Linked DNA regions of Anolis sagrei. The protein of the gene in region 3 interacts with the protein of the main gene of each other region in a biochemical or structural test. Links are inferred from orthologs where the notes say so. Each region holds a gene or a part of one and is shown on either strand. Other genes may lie near its edges. The genes, in order: RNF4, RLIM and UBE2D1.

Evidence for each region.
Region 1: the proteins of UBE2D1 (region 3) and RNF4 form a complex in vitro, tested with the Homo sapiens proteins (12 studies listed by BioGRID). The link is inferred for Anolis sagrei from reciprocal best matches to the Homo sapiens genes UBE2D1 and RNF4.
Region 2: the proteins of UBE2D1 (region 3) and RLIM form a complex in vitro, tested with the Homo sapiens proteins (5 studies listed by BioGRID). The link is inferred for Anolis sagrei from reciprocal best matches to the Homo sapiens genes UBE2D1 and RLIM.

What each region holds. Positions count from the first base shown.
Region 1 is NC_090024.1:46,924,189-46,927,943, forward strand, and holds the start of RNF4 (E3 ubiquitin-protein ligase RNF4), read left to right. Parts: upstream 1-1,508; 5' UTR 1,509-1,847; intron 1,848-3,755. Other genes in the region: YTHDF3 (YTH domain-containing family protein 3), read right to left, coding at 946-969. UniProt on the Homo sapiens protein: E3 ubiquitin-protein ligase which binds polysumoylated chains covalently attached to proteins and mediates 'Lys-6'-, 'Lys-11'-, 'Lys-48'- and 'Lys-63'-linked polyubiquitination of those substrates and their subsequent targeting to the proteasome for degradation.
Region 2 is NC_090030.1:32,286,782-32,290,536, reverse strand, and holds the start of RLIM (E3 ubiquitin-protein ligase RLIM), read left to right. Parts: upstream 1-1,328; 5' UTR 1,329-1,526; intron 1,527-3,755. UniProt on the Homo sapiens protein: E3 ubiquitin-protein ligase.
Region 3 is NC_090023.1:178,057,370-178,061,124, reverse strand, and holds the start of UBE2D1 (ubiquitin-conjugating enzyme E2 D1), read left to right. Parts: upstream 1-1,243; 5' UTR 1,244-1,508; coding exon 1,509-1,532; intron 1,533-3,755.

The DNA.
Region 1 (3,755 bases), on a different chromosome or scaffold from region 3:
TTATAGTACAATGTAATATATAATATTAATATTGTGCTATAGTAATAATATAATATATTGTATTTTTACTTGTAAGATGCTCTGAGTCCCCTTCGGGGTGAGACGGGTGGCATATAAATGTATGTGTATATGTGTGTATATATATATATATATATACACACACACACACACACACACACACACAAGCCATCCCCTACCACGTGTTTCTGTGGCCTAGTCTGTGTATATATTTGTGTATTTGTGTTTATATGTATGCATGTATATTGTGTATGTGTGCTTGTCTATATGAATATTTGGGTATATATGTGTGTGTATATTTGTGTGTGTTTGTGCATATATATATATACACAAATGTGTGCATGTAAATATGTATGAGTGTATGTGTATATGGTGGGTTTTTTTGGGGGGGGTTTAAGTCTGCTCCGCTGGGGTTGTGTGTGTGTGTATTTTTAGGGGTGATGGACACTCGTTGGACTGTTCGGTGTATTGTGTCCAAATTGGGTGTCAATTCGTCCAGTGGTTTTTGAGTTCTGTTAATCCCACAAACGAACATTACATTTTTATTTATATACATATTCCAAGAAATACACACACACACAACCAGGAAGGGGTCGCAGTGATGAGAAGACACCTCCGAGGAGGCGACGGGGAAGGCAAGCCCTCAGGGCCCAAAACCCCGCTCGCCGGGCCCGGATGGGGAGGGACGGCCGCGGAGGGCGCCAGGAAAGGGGAAGGCCTGCTCGAGAGGCCCGGAGCAGCCCAGCGGCCTTCCTCAGTGGCGAGCCCGAGGCTGAGCAGCGGCCTCCAGGCCTGCGAGGGGGCGGCGCTGGGAAACGGGGGAGGAGCCGCCGCTCGGCCGCGGATGTAGCGGCCGCGGATCCCCGCTATGCCCGGCGGAAGGAAGGAAAGGAGGGAGGGAGAAAGAAAGGAGGCCGGGCCGGCTACCTGGTCGACGCTGGTGGCTGACATTCTTCAAGGGGCGCGCAATCCCCCTCACCCCCTCCGCTCCGCTCGGGCCTGCTCGTGGGTCCCGCTTCCCTCCAAGCGCCGCTTCCTCCGCCACTCTCTCCTCCTCCTCCGCCGCCTGATTGTCTCCGCAGCTCGGCCCCCTCCTCCTTCTCCTCGGAAAGCAACCCGCTGGACGCTGCGAGCGCGGCGGCGGCGTCGGCTTCCCTCCCTTCTCCTCTCGGGGCTTCGCTTTCCCACAATGGCGGACGCGCTCCGGCTCCTACTTCCGCTCCGCAGCGCCCTGACCTTCCGCTCTCTCCCCCCTCTTCCTCCTCCTCCTCCCTCCCTCGCTGCTGCTGCTGACGACGACGTCGCAGGCGACCTTTCCGTCTCCGCCTCATGTCACGTGGGGAAGGGGAAGGAAGAGGAGAAGGAGGGAGGAGGAGAAGAACCAGAAAGGGGCGCATGCGCACGCCTCCTTGGCCTCCAAGAGCTTCCAAGAGCCCGTATGGTGTGTGTCTAGGAGGGTGAGGCGCTCGCGCGCGTCGACGCAGGCGCAGTGCTGCCTCCGACCGGTGGGGGTGGAGGCGGAAGTGACGTCAGCATTCTTTCCCTCAGCCGCACAGAGTCGGGCGAGAATCCTGAGGGAACGGAAAAGGCGTGAGAGTGCTTCGAAAAGGAAGGCGTTCGAGGCCGTTTTCCCAACCGTCTCAACCGCTCGGCTCGGAGTGAGCAAGGCGGCGCTTTCTCGGGACGCCGTAGTCGACGGCTGAGGAGAAAGAGAGCCCCTTGGCTTGCTTCCTTCCTTCCCTCCGTTGAACCATCGGCACTCGCGACAGGGAGGCCTCGGCGCCAGGCTCCTCGCCGCTTCTTCCCCGGGAGATTCCTCTCCCATTTCGGTGAGATTGTCTCCAAAGGCTTAACAATATGAGGGAGGGGTGTGAGGGGAAGGAAGGAAGGAAGGCAGGGCCTGTCTTCCAAGCAGGGAAATGGCGGCCGAGGGAGTGGGAGCCTGGCATGAGGAAGCCTTTAAGAAGGTCCTGGCCCGGGTAGAAAAAAAGCTGAAGACTTAGAACTGAGTCGGCAAAAGACGGGGGGAATTATCAGAGTTTTAAGAGGCATTTGTTTGGTTTTTTCCTTTTGTTGTTTCAAGCCTTCCGCGTTCAGGGTATTCGGCTTTTAGTGCTGAGTCATGGCATAGCTCGAACAAATGGAACAAAGTCCACCAAAGAGAGATGTACCTATCTGGGCCAACGCAAAATGCGGAGAAACGCTTCATGTCAGATTTCGAAGCTCCACTGGCTTCTGCGCCCTCTGAAGAATCATACATAGAAGTGAAGGAAAATGAGGGCATTAGAGACCTTTGAAGAATCATGCATACAAGAGAAGAAAAATGAGGGCATTGGAGACGCAGGCCTACGTTTTGCACCCAGTGTTGTTTTTGTGGGTCAGTTGTTCAGGGCGGTTTTCAATCCAGACATAAGCCACTCCCCCATTTTGGCCTTCTGAGTGCCAAGACAAAAAAAAACCCAGTCAAATGTACTGTATATACTCGAGTATAAGCCGAGGCACCTAATTTTATCACAAAAACTGGGAAGATGTATTGACTCGAGTATAAGCCGAGGGTGGGAAATGCATCCACTATGGGTCAATTTCAAAATAAAAATAGATACCAATAAAATTACATTAATTGAGGCATCAATAGGCTAAATGTTTTTGAATGTTTACATAAAACTGTAATTTAAGATAAGACTGCCCAACTCTTATTAAACCATTATGTTAACCTATAAGTAAATGTACTTATTATTAAAATAATAAATATAATAAAAAATAATACAGTGAAATAATGAAAATGTAATAAAAACAGTCATAGTAGAGTAAAATAATAAATGTAGCAATAACGGGGAAATGCTGTAAATATAATAATAATAATAATAAATAGATTAAAATAATAAATGTAATAATAGGGTAAAATACTGTAAATGTAATAATAATAATAATAGAGCAAAATAATGTAAATAGAATAATAGAGTAAAATAATAAATGTAATAAAATATTACTAATAACAGAGTAAAAGAATAACCTTGACTCAAGTATAAGCCGAGGGGAGCTTTTTCAGCCTAAAAAGAGTCTGAAAAACTAGGTTTATACTCGAGTATATACCGTAAATCGCTGCAGCAGCAGAGTCACTCCTATTGGAATCCAGGATGACTCAGCCTTTTGTGAAGCCACAGGCCCCTTTCTTAGGAATTTATTTATAGTATTGGAAGCAAACCGAGGGTACATTTGTAATGTATTTTTTAAAAACTTGGCATTATACTAAAATGTCCTTTGACCAGTAGCTGGCCACTTGGAGTGCTTCGGGTGTTGCTATAAGAAGGTCCTCCACTGTACATGTGACAGGACTCAGACTGCATTGTAAGAGGTGGTCTATGGTTTGCTCTTCTCCACACTCACATGTCGTAGATTCCACTGTGCAGCCCCATTTCATAAGGTTGGCTCTGCATCTCATGGTGCCAGGTGCAGTCTGTTCAGCCCAGTTTTCTGTGTGCCCAGGGAGGAGTCTCATTCAGTATCAGCCATGTCTTGGGGTTCCAGGTTTTAGCCTGCCAGTTTTGGACTCTCACTTGTGAGTATCTCTGTAAATCTTAGAAAACCCATTCTTGATTTAAGGCGTTGGCGTGCTGGCTGATATCCAAACACCAGAAGTTTTTTAAAGTAGGAGACACTGAATTTCTCCAGAGGTCTCTGTGCTGCTACAGTACAGGAGTTGGGTGCTGTGTAGGTGCTCTCTCCACCAGTGCCTA
Region 2 (3,755 bases), on a different chromosome or scaffold from region 3:
CATCTATTTTATTATTATCCACTACATATTTATCTATTTATTATTATTATCCAATAACTATTTATTATTCATCTATTTTATTATTATCCAATAAATACTTATTTTATTTTTTATTATTATCCATTAAATATTTATCTATATTATTATTATCCACCACATACTTATCTATTTATTATTATTATCCAATAAATATTTATTATTTACCTATATTATTATTATTATTATTATTATTATTATCTTCCTTCTTGACCTTAGTATCTACTACATATTTATCTATTTATTATTATTATTATCCAATAAATATTTCTTATTTATCTATTTTATTATTATTATTATTAATTATTTTAATTATTATTTCATTATTTTTATTTAATTATTTTTATTGGATTTATTATTATTATTTTATTATTATCCACTACATATTTATCTATTTATTATTATTATTATTATTATTATCCAATAAATATTTATTATTTATCTATTTTAATATTATTATTAATTATTTTAATTATTATTTTATTATTATTTATTTTATTATTTTATTATATTATTATCCACTACATATTTATCTATTATTATTATTATTATTATTATTCAATAAATATTTATTGTTTCTCTATTTTTTATTATTATTATTATTATTATTATCTTCCTTCTTGACTTTAGTATCTACTACATATTTATCTATTTATTATTATTATTATCCAATAAATATTTCTTATTTATCTATTTTATTATTATTATTATTATTATTATTATTATTAATTATTTTAATTATTATTTTATTATTTTTATTATTTTTATTTAATTATTTTTATTGGATTTATTTTATTATTATTTATTTTATTATTTTATTTTATTATTATCCTGTACATGTTTATCTATTTATTATTATTATTATTATTATCCAATAAATATTTATTATTTCTCTATATTATTATTATTATTATTATTTTCTTCCTTCTTGACCTATTCTATTCTTCTTGGTTCAGTTCCTGTTCAAAATGGACGCCCCCATTGAGCCGCTCTCTCTCCTCAGTCCTCCACACTCTATGACCGACACATTTCTCCACTCTCTCACTATAATCCAGCCGGATAGGTTTAGCAACGGAGCATGCGCACTTCCGCCACGCATTCTATAGGTTCAGCAACGGAGCATGCGCACTTCCTCCACCTGCGCACGCATTCCAGTCAGTGGCGAACGAGGATGGGTTACTGAGAAGTGGGGGGGGGGGGGAGACGTCACTTCCGCCTCCTGCGTGCGCAACGGAGCCCAAACCAACGGGGCTGGGCCTCTCCCTGTGCCGTGCGCATGCGCACTCTCCTCTCGTCCCCCTCCTCCCTCCCGCTTCCGGTCCCCGAGTTCCTTAGTAACAATGGAGCCTAAGATGGCGGCCTGAGAGGACGGAGGGCGAGAGAGGAGCCGGGGAAAGGAAGCAGGCGGACAGGGAGAAGGAAGGCCAGCCGCGTCGGGTCCGGCGGACGGAGAACGCAGGAGAGGAGGGAGAAGGAGGCCGCGGACGGAGGTGAGCAAGCCGGCCGAGGGAGGCAAACAGTCAGGCAGGCTTCGACAGAGAACTAGGCCGCAGCCCTTCCTTCCTCCCTCTGCGTTTCCTGCTTGGTGAGGCCTTCAGGGGAATGGCCTCCATACAATTCCCACACAGCCCCACATTCTCTGCTTTGAACCGGATTATATAGCCGTGTGGACTCATTTGGTCCAATTCAAAGCAGGCATTGATATATTGTATGTACATATAACTTGTAAGCTGCTCTAAGTCCCCTTCGGGGAGGGAAGGGCGGCATACAAATGTCATTTTTTTGTCGTTGAGAAACTGCAAGTCGTTTCTGGTGTGAGAGGATTGGGCTGGATATCTGCCTTGATATCCAGGGAGATATGGCTGTGTGGAAAGGCCCGGAGACTCGGAGCCCATCTACGCAGCCATAGAACATCAAAACAGAGAACCCACAATGTCAGCGTTGAACTGGGTTCCCTGAGTCCACACTGCCCTTTATCCCAGGATCTGATCCCAGAGTATCTGATTTAAACTGGAATATAATCATCATAATAAACTTAATTTTTTAACCCACCCACTGGCATTGAATGTTTGCCATTTTCCCTTTTTGGAAGCCTCCCTGAGTTCTCTCGGGGAGACTAATTATGTGTGTGTATGTGTATGTGTGTGTGTGTGTGTGTGTGTGTATATATATATATATATATATATACACACACATACATACACAAACACACACACAATTAGTCTCCCCGAGGGGACTCAAGGAGGCTTCCAAAAAAGTAAAATGGCAAACATATATATGTGTGTGTGTATATATATATATATATAAATGCTCTGTGCGTAATGAGTACCTTAAAAACAAAAGGACCAATGAATGAAATCACACCAAATTTGGCAACAAATGTCTCACAACACAAGGAGTGACCATCACTCAAAAAATTATGATTTTGTCATTCAGGAATTGTAGTTGCTGGTATTTATAGTTCACCTACAATCAAAGAGCATTCTGAACTCCACCAACATTGGAATTGAACCAAACTTGCCGCGCAGAACTCCCATGAGTAACAAAAAATACTGGAAAGGTTTGGTGGGCATTGACCTTGAGTTTGGGAGTTGTAGTTCACTTACATCCAGAGAGCACTGTGGACTCTGCCTTGATATTCAGGGAGATATGGCTGTGTGGAAAGGGCCGGGGACTCAGAGCCCTTCTACACAGCCATAGAACATCAAGGCAGAGAACCCACCATGTCAGCTTTGAACTGGGTTTCCTGAGTCCACACTGCCCTTTCTCCCAGGATCTGATCCCAGATTATCTGATATAAACTGGAATATAATCATAATCAACTTTATTTTTTAACCCATCCACTTTCCCTGAGGGGGAGTGTGTGTGTGTGTATGGCATTGAATGTTTGCCATTTTCCTTTTTTGGAAGTCTCCCCGAGTCCCCTCAGGGAGACTAATTATGTGTGTGTGTGTGTGTGTGTGTGTGTGTATATACATACATACACACACACACACATAATTAGTCTCCCTGAGGGGACTCAGGGAGGCTTCCAAAAAAGTAAAATGGCAAACACACACACACACACACACACATATATGTATATACATGCTCTGTGCGTAATGAGAACCTTAAAAACAAAAGAACCAATGAACGAAATCACACCAAATTTGGCAACAAAACGTCTCACAACACAAGGACTGACCATCACTCAAAAAATTATGATTTTGTCATTTGGGAGACTCAATGTTATATTATTAGCATAGCACAATATTAGTATTATAGGGTTGTTGTAGGTTTTTCCAGCTATATGGCCATGTTCCAGAAGCATTCTCTCCTGACATTTCACCTGCATCTATGGCAGGCATTCTCAGAAGTTGTGAGGAGCTGCATCTATATGCAGGCGAAACGTTAGGAGATATAATGCTTCTAAAACATGGCCATATAGCCAAAAAACCCTACAACAACCCAGTGTTTCTGGCCATGAAAGCCTTCGACAATATAAAAGTATTATATATTAGTATATTGTACTAATACCACTTTACAGTAATATTATTAGTCATATCGCATGTAATATAAAATATAATTATTATATTGTAGTATTATTATTAGTATTATATTGTATTACATTATAATATTATCAGTATTATATATGTATACAATATATTATATTATTGGCACAGCACAATATTAGTATTATATATTACTATACTGTACTATACTGCTATACTGTAAAATTA
Region 3 (3,755 bases):
TGTGGAGCCCTATTCTTGCTCTGCATCTTCTTCCGCAGTGAGGGCATTGGTTTCCAGGTGGAAGGTGGTCTCGGTCGGGGTTGGCTTGACACGCCTTCCTCTTGGCACGCTTCTCCCTTTCGCCCTCCATTCGTGCCTCCTCAAATTCTGCAGCACTGCTGGTCACAGCTGACCTCCAGCTGGAGCGGTCAAGAGCCAGGGCTTCCCAGTTCTCACTGTCTATGCCAGAGTTTTTAAGGTTGGCTTTGAGCCCGTCTTTAAATCTCTTTTCCTGCCCACCAACATTCCGTTTTCCATTCTTGAGTTCGGAGTAGAGCAACTGCTTTGGGAGACGGTGGTCGGGCATCCGGACAACGTGGCCGGTCCAGCAGAGTTGGTGGCGGAGGACCATCGCTTCAATGCTGGTGGTCTTTGCTTCTTCCAGCACGCTGACATTTGTCCGCCTGTCTTCCCAAGAGATTTGCAGGATTTTCCGGAGGCAGCGGTGATGGAATCGTTCCAGGAGTTGTATGTGACGTCTGTAGAGAGTCCACGTCTCACAGGCGTATCGCAGGATTGGGAGGACAATCGCTTTATAGACAAGCACCTTGGTATCCCTATGGATGTCCCGGTCCTCAAACACTCTCTGCTTCTTTCGGGAAAATGCTGCACTCGCAGAGCTCAGGCGGTGTTGTATTTCGGTGTCGATGTTGACTTTGGTGGAGAGGTGGCTGCCAAGGTAGCGGAAATGATCAACATTTTCTAATGTTACACCATTAAGCTGTATCTCTGGCATTGGGGAGGGGATGGCTTGTGACTGCTGGAACAGCACCTTGGTTTTTTCAATGTTCAATGACAGGCCTCTGCGAAGGTGTTTAGGGTGGCTTGTAGCTCTTCTTCTGAATGCGCACAGATGACGTTGTCATCAGCATACTGGAGTTCTATAACAGATGTTGTTGTGACCTTGGTTTTGGCTTTCAGTCTGCTGAGGTTGAATAGCTTGCCATCTGTCCGATAGATGATTTCCACTCTGGTGGGAAGCTTCCCATCAACAAGGTGAAATATCATAGCGATGAAGATGGAGACTAGAATTGGGGCAATAACACATCCCTGTTTGACACCGGATTCCACCTTAAATGGGTCACTTTGGGAGCCATTGCTGTCCAAAACTGTTGCCATCATGTCATCATGGAGGAGCCTTGGTCCTTATACAGATAGAAGATAGATAGATGTCAAACACCCTGCACTGTGCGGAGTCATGACTTCATCCGGGCGGCAGGGGGCGCTGCGCGGGCGAGGCTGTGGTTCTGGAACTACGCTTCCCGGCATGCCTCTGGCGGCCTGGCGCCGGTGTGGGCGGGGCCGCGGGGGGTCTTATTAGTACAAGCGGAAACAAAAGACCCTTCGACTGGGAGCGGAGAGGCGCCTCGGCCCCGGCCTCCGCAGCACGGCCCCCGACGCCGACGCCTCTTCCTCCTGGGCTCCCCCTTCACGGCTTCCCCTCAGCGGGCCGCATCCCCGGGCTCCCCATGGCGCTCAAGCGGATACAGAAGGTGAGCAAGGCCGCCCGTCAGCCCGCCCGTTGGGAACGGAGAGAGCGTCGAGCTGTGAGGGCCTCCTCCTCCTTCTCGAGGTGGCGCGCGAGCGAGGGGGTTCCTGACGGGGGGGGGGGGGGGAGGCGCAAGATCTCGCGAGAGCCTGTGCCAAGGCCTCCAAGGGAAGGGCCCCCCGCTTGTGTCGCCTTCGCTTTGTCTGTTCAGGTTGGAGCAGCTCTTATCACTCCTATTTGGGGATCTTGGCCTGAGATGTCTCTTGGGAGCCCTTCCACACAGCCATATCATCCAGACTATCAAGGCAGGCGGTCCCACAATATCTGCTTTGAACTGGAATATATGGCATTGTGGATTCAGATCACCCAGTTCAAAGCAGATACTGTGGGATTTCCTGCCTTGATATCCTGGGAGCCCTTCCACACAGCCCTATATCCTATCAAAGCAGAAAAATCCCACATTATCTGAGTGTGGACTGAGATAACATAGCTCAAAACAGATATTGTGGGATTTCATGCCTTGATATCATGGGGGCCCTTCCACACAGCTCTATATCCCAGAACATCAAGGCAGAAAATCCCACAATATCAGCTTTGAATTGGGTTATCTGGGTCCACACTCAGATAATGTGGGATTTTCTGCCTTGATATCCTGCGATATAGGGCTGTGTTGAAGGGCCCTTAGAATATCAAGGCAGGAGGTCCCACAATATCTGCTTTGAACTGGAATATATGGCATTGTGGATTCAGATAACCCAGCTCTAAGCAGATATTGTGGGATTTCCTGCCTTGATATCCTGGGGGCCCTTCCACACAGCCCTATATCCCAGAATATCAAGGCAGAAAAATCCCACATTATCTGAGTGTGGACTGAAATAACCCAACTCAAAACAGATATTGTGGGATTTCCTGCCTTGATATCCTGGGGGCCCTTCCACACAGCCCTATATCCCAGAATATCAAAGCAGAAAAATCCCACATTATCTGAGTGTGGACTGAAATAACCCAGCTCAAAACACATATTGTGGGATTTCATGCCTCAATATTCTGGGGGCCCTTCCACACAGCCCTATATTTCAGAACATCAAGGCAGGAAATCCCACAATATCAGCTTTGAATTGGGTTATCTGGGTCCACACTCAGATAATGTGGGATTTTCTGCCTTGATATTCTGGGGTATAGGGCTGTGTGGAAGGGCACCCAGAATATCAGCTTTGAATTGGGTTATCTGGGTCCACACTCAGATAATGTGGGATTTCCTGCCTTGATGTCCTGGGGGCCCTTCCACACAGCCCTATATCCCAGAATATCAAAGCAGAAAAATCCCACATTATCTGAGTGTGGACTGAAATAACCCAGCTCAAAACACATATTGTGGGATTTCATGCCTCGATATTCTGGGTGCCCTTCCACACAGCCCTATATTTCAGAACATCAAGGCAGAAAATCCCACAATATCAGCTTTGAATTAGGGTCCACACTCAGATAATGTGGGATTTTCTGCCTTGATGTTCTGGGATATAGGGTTGTGTTGATGGACCCTCGGAATATCAAGACAGGAAATCCCACAAGACAGGAAATCAGTTTTGAATTGGGTTATCTGGGTCCACACTCAGATAATGCATGGTTCGTTCGGACAGGTAAGTTGGGCCAGAACCGTTTAGGGCTTTAGAAGCCAAAGCCTATAAAGCCCTCTAAACCCATCAGAAATTTACCATGGAGTTGTGCTGGAAGATCTTGGGCCGCTCCACATGGCCATATAACCCAGACTATCAAGGCAGATAACCCGCAATATCTGCTTTGTACTGGGGGCCCTTCCACACAGCCATATAACCCAGAATATCAAAGCAGAACATCCAAGAATATCTGCTTTTAACTGGGTTATCTGAGCCCACACTCAGATAATGTGGGATTTCCTGCCTTGATATTCTGAGGGCCTTCCACACAGTCCTATATCCCAGGATATCAAAGCAGAAAATCCCACATTATCTGAGTGTGGACCCAGATAACACAGTTCAAAGCAGATATTGTGGGATTTTCCACCTTGATATTCTGAGGACTCTTCACCACAGTCCTATATCCTGGAATATCAAGGCTGAAAATCCCACATTAGTGTTAATGTTTCATTATTATATTGTCCATGTTTTATTTTTAATTGCTTGTATTGTTGTTATTATTGCTTGTATTGTTGTATTTTGGCTCGGCCTCATGTAAGCTGCACCGAGTC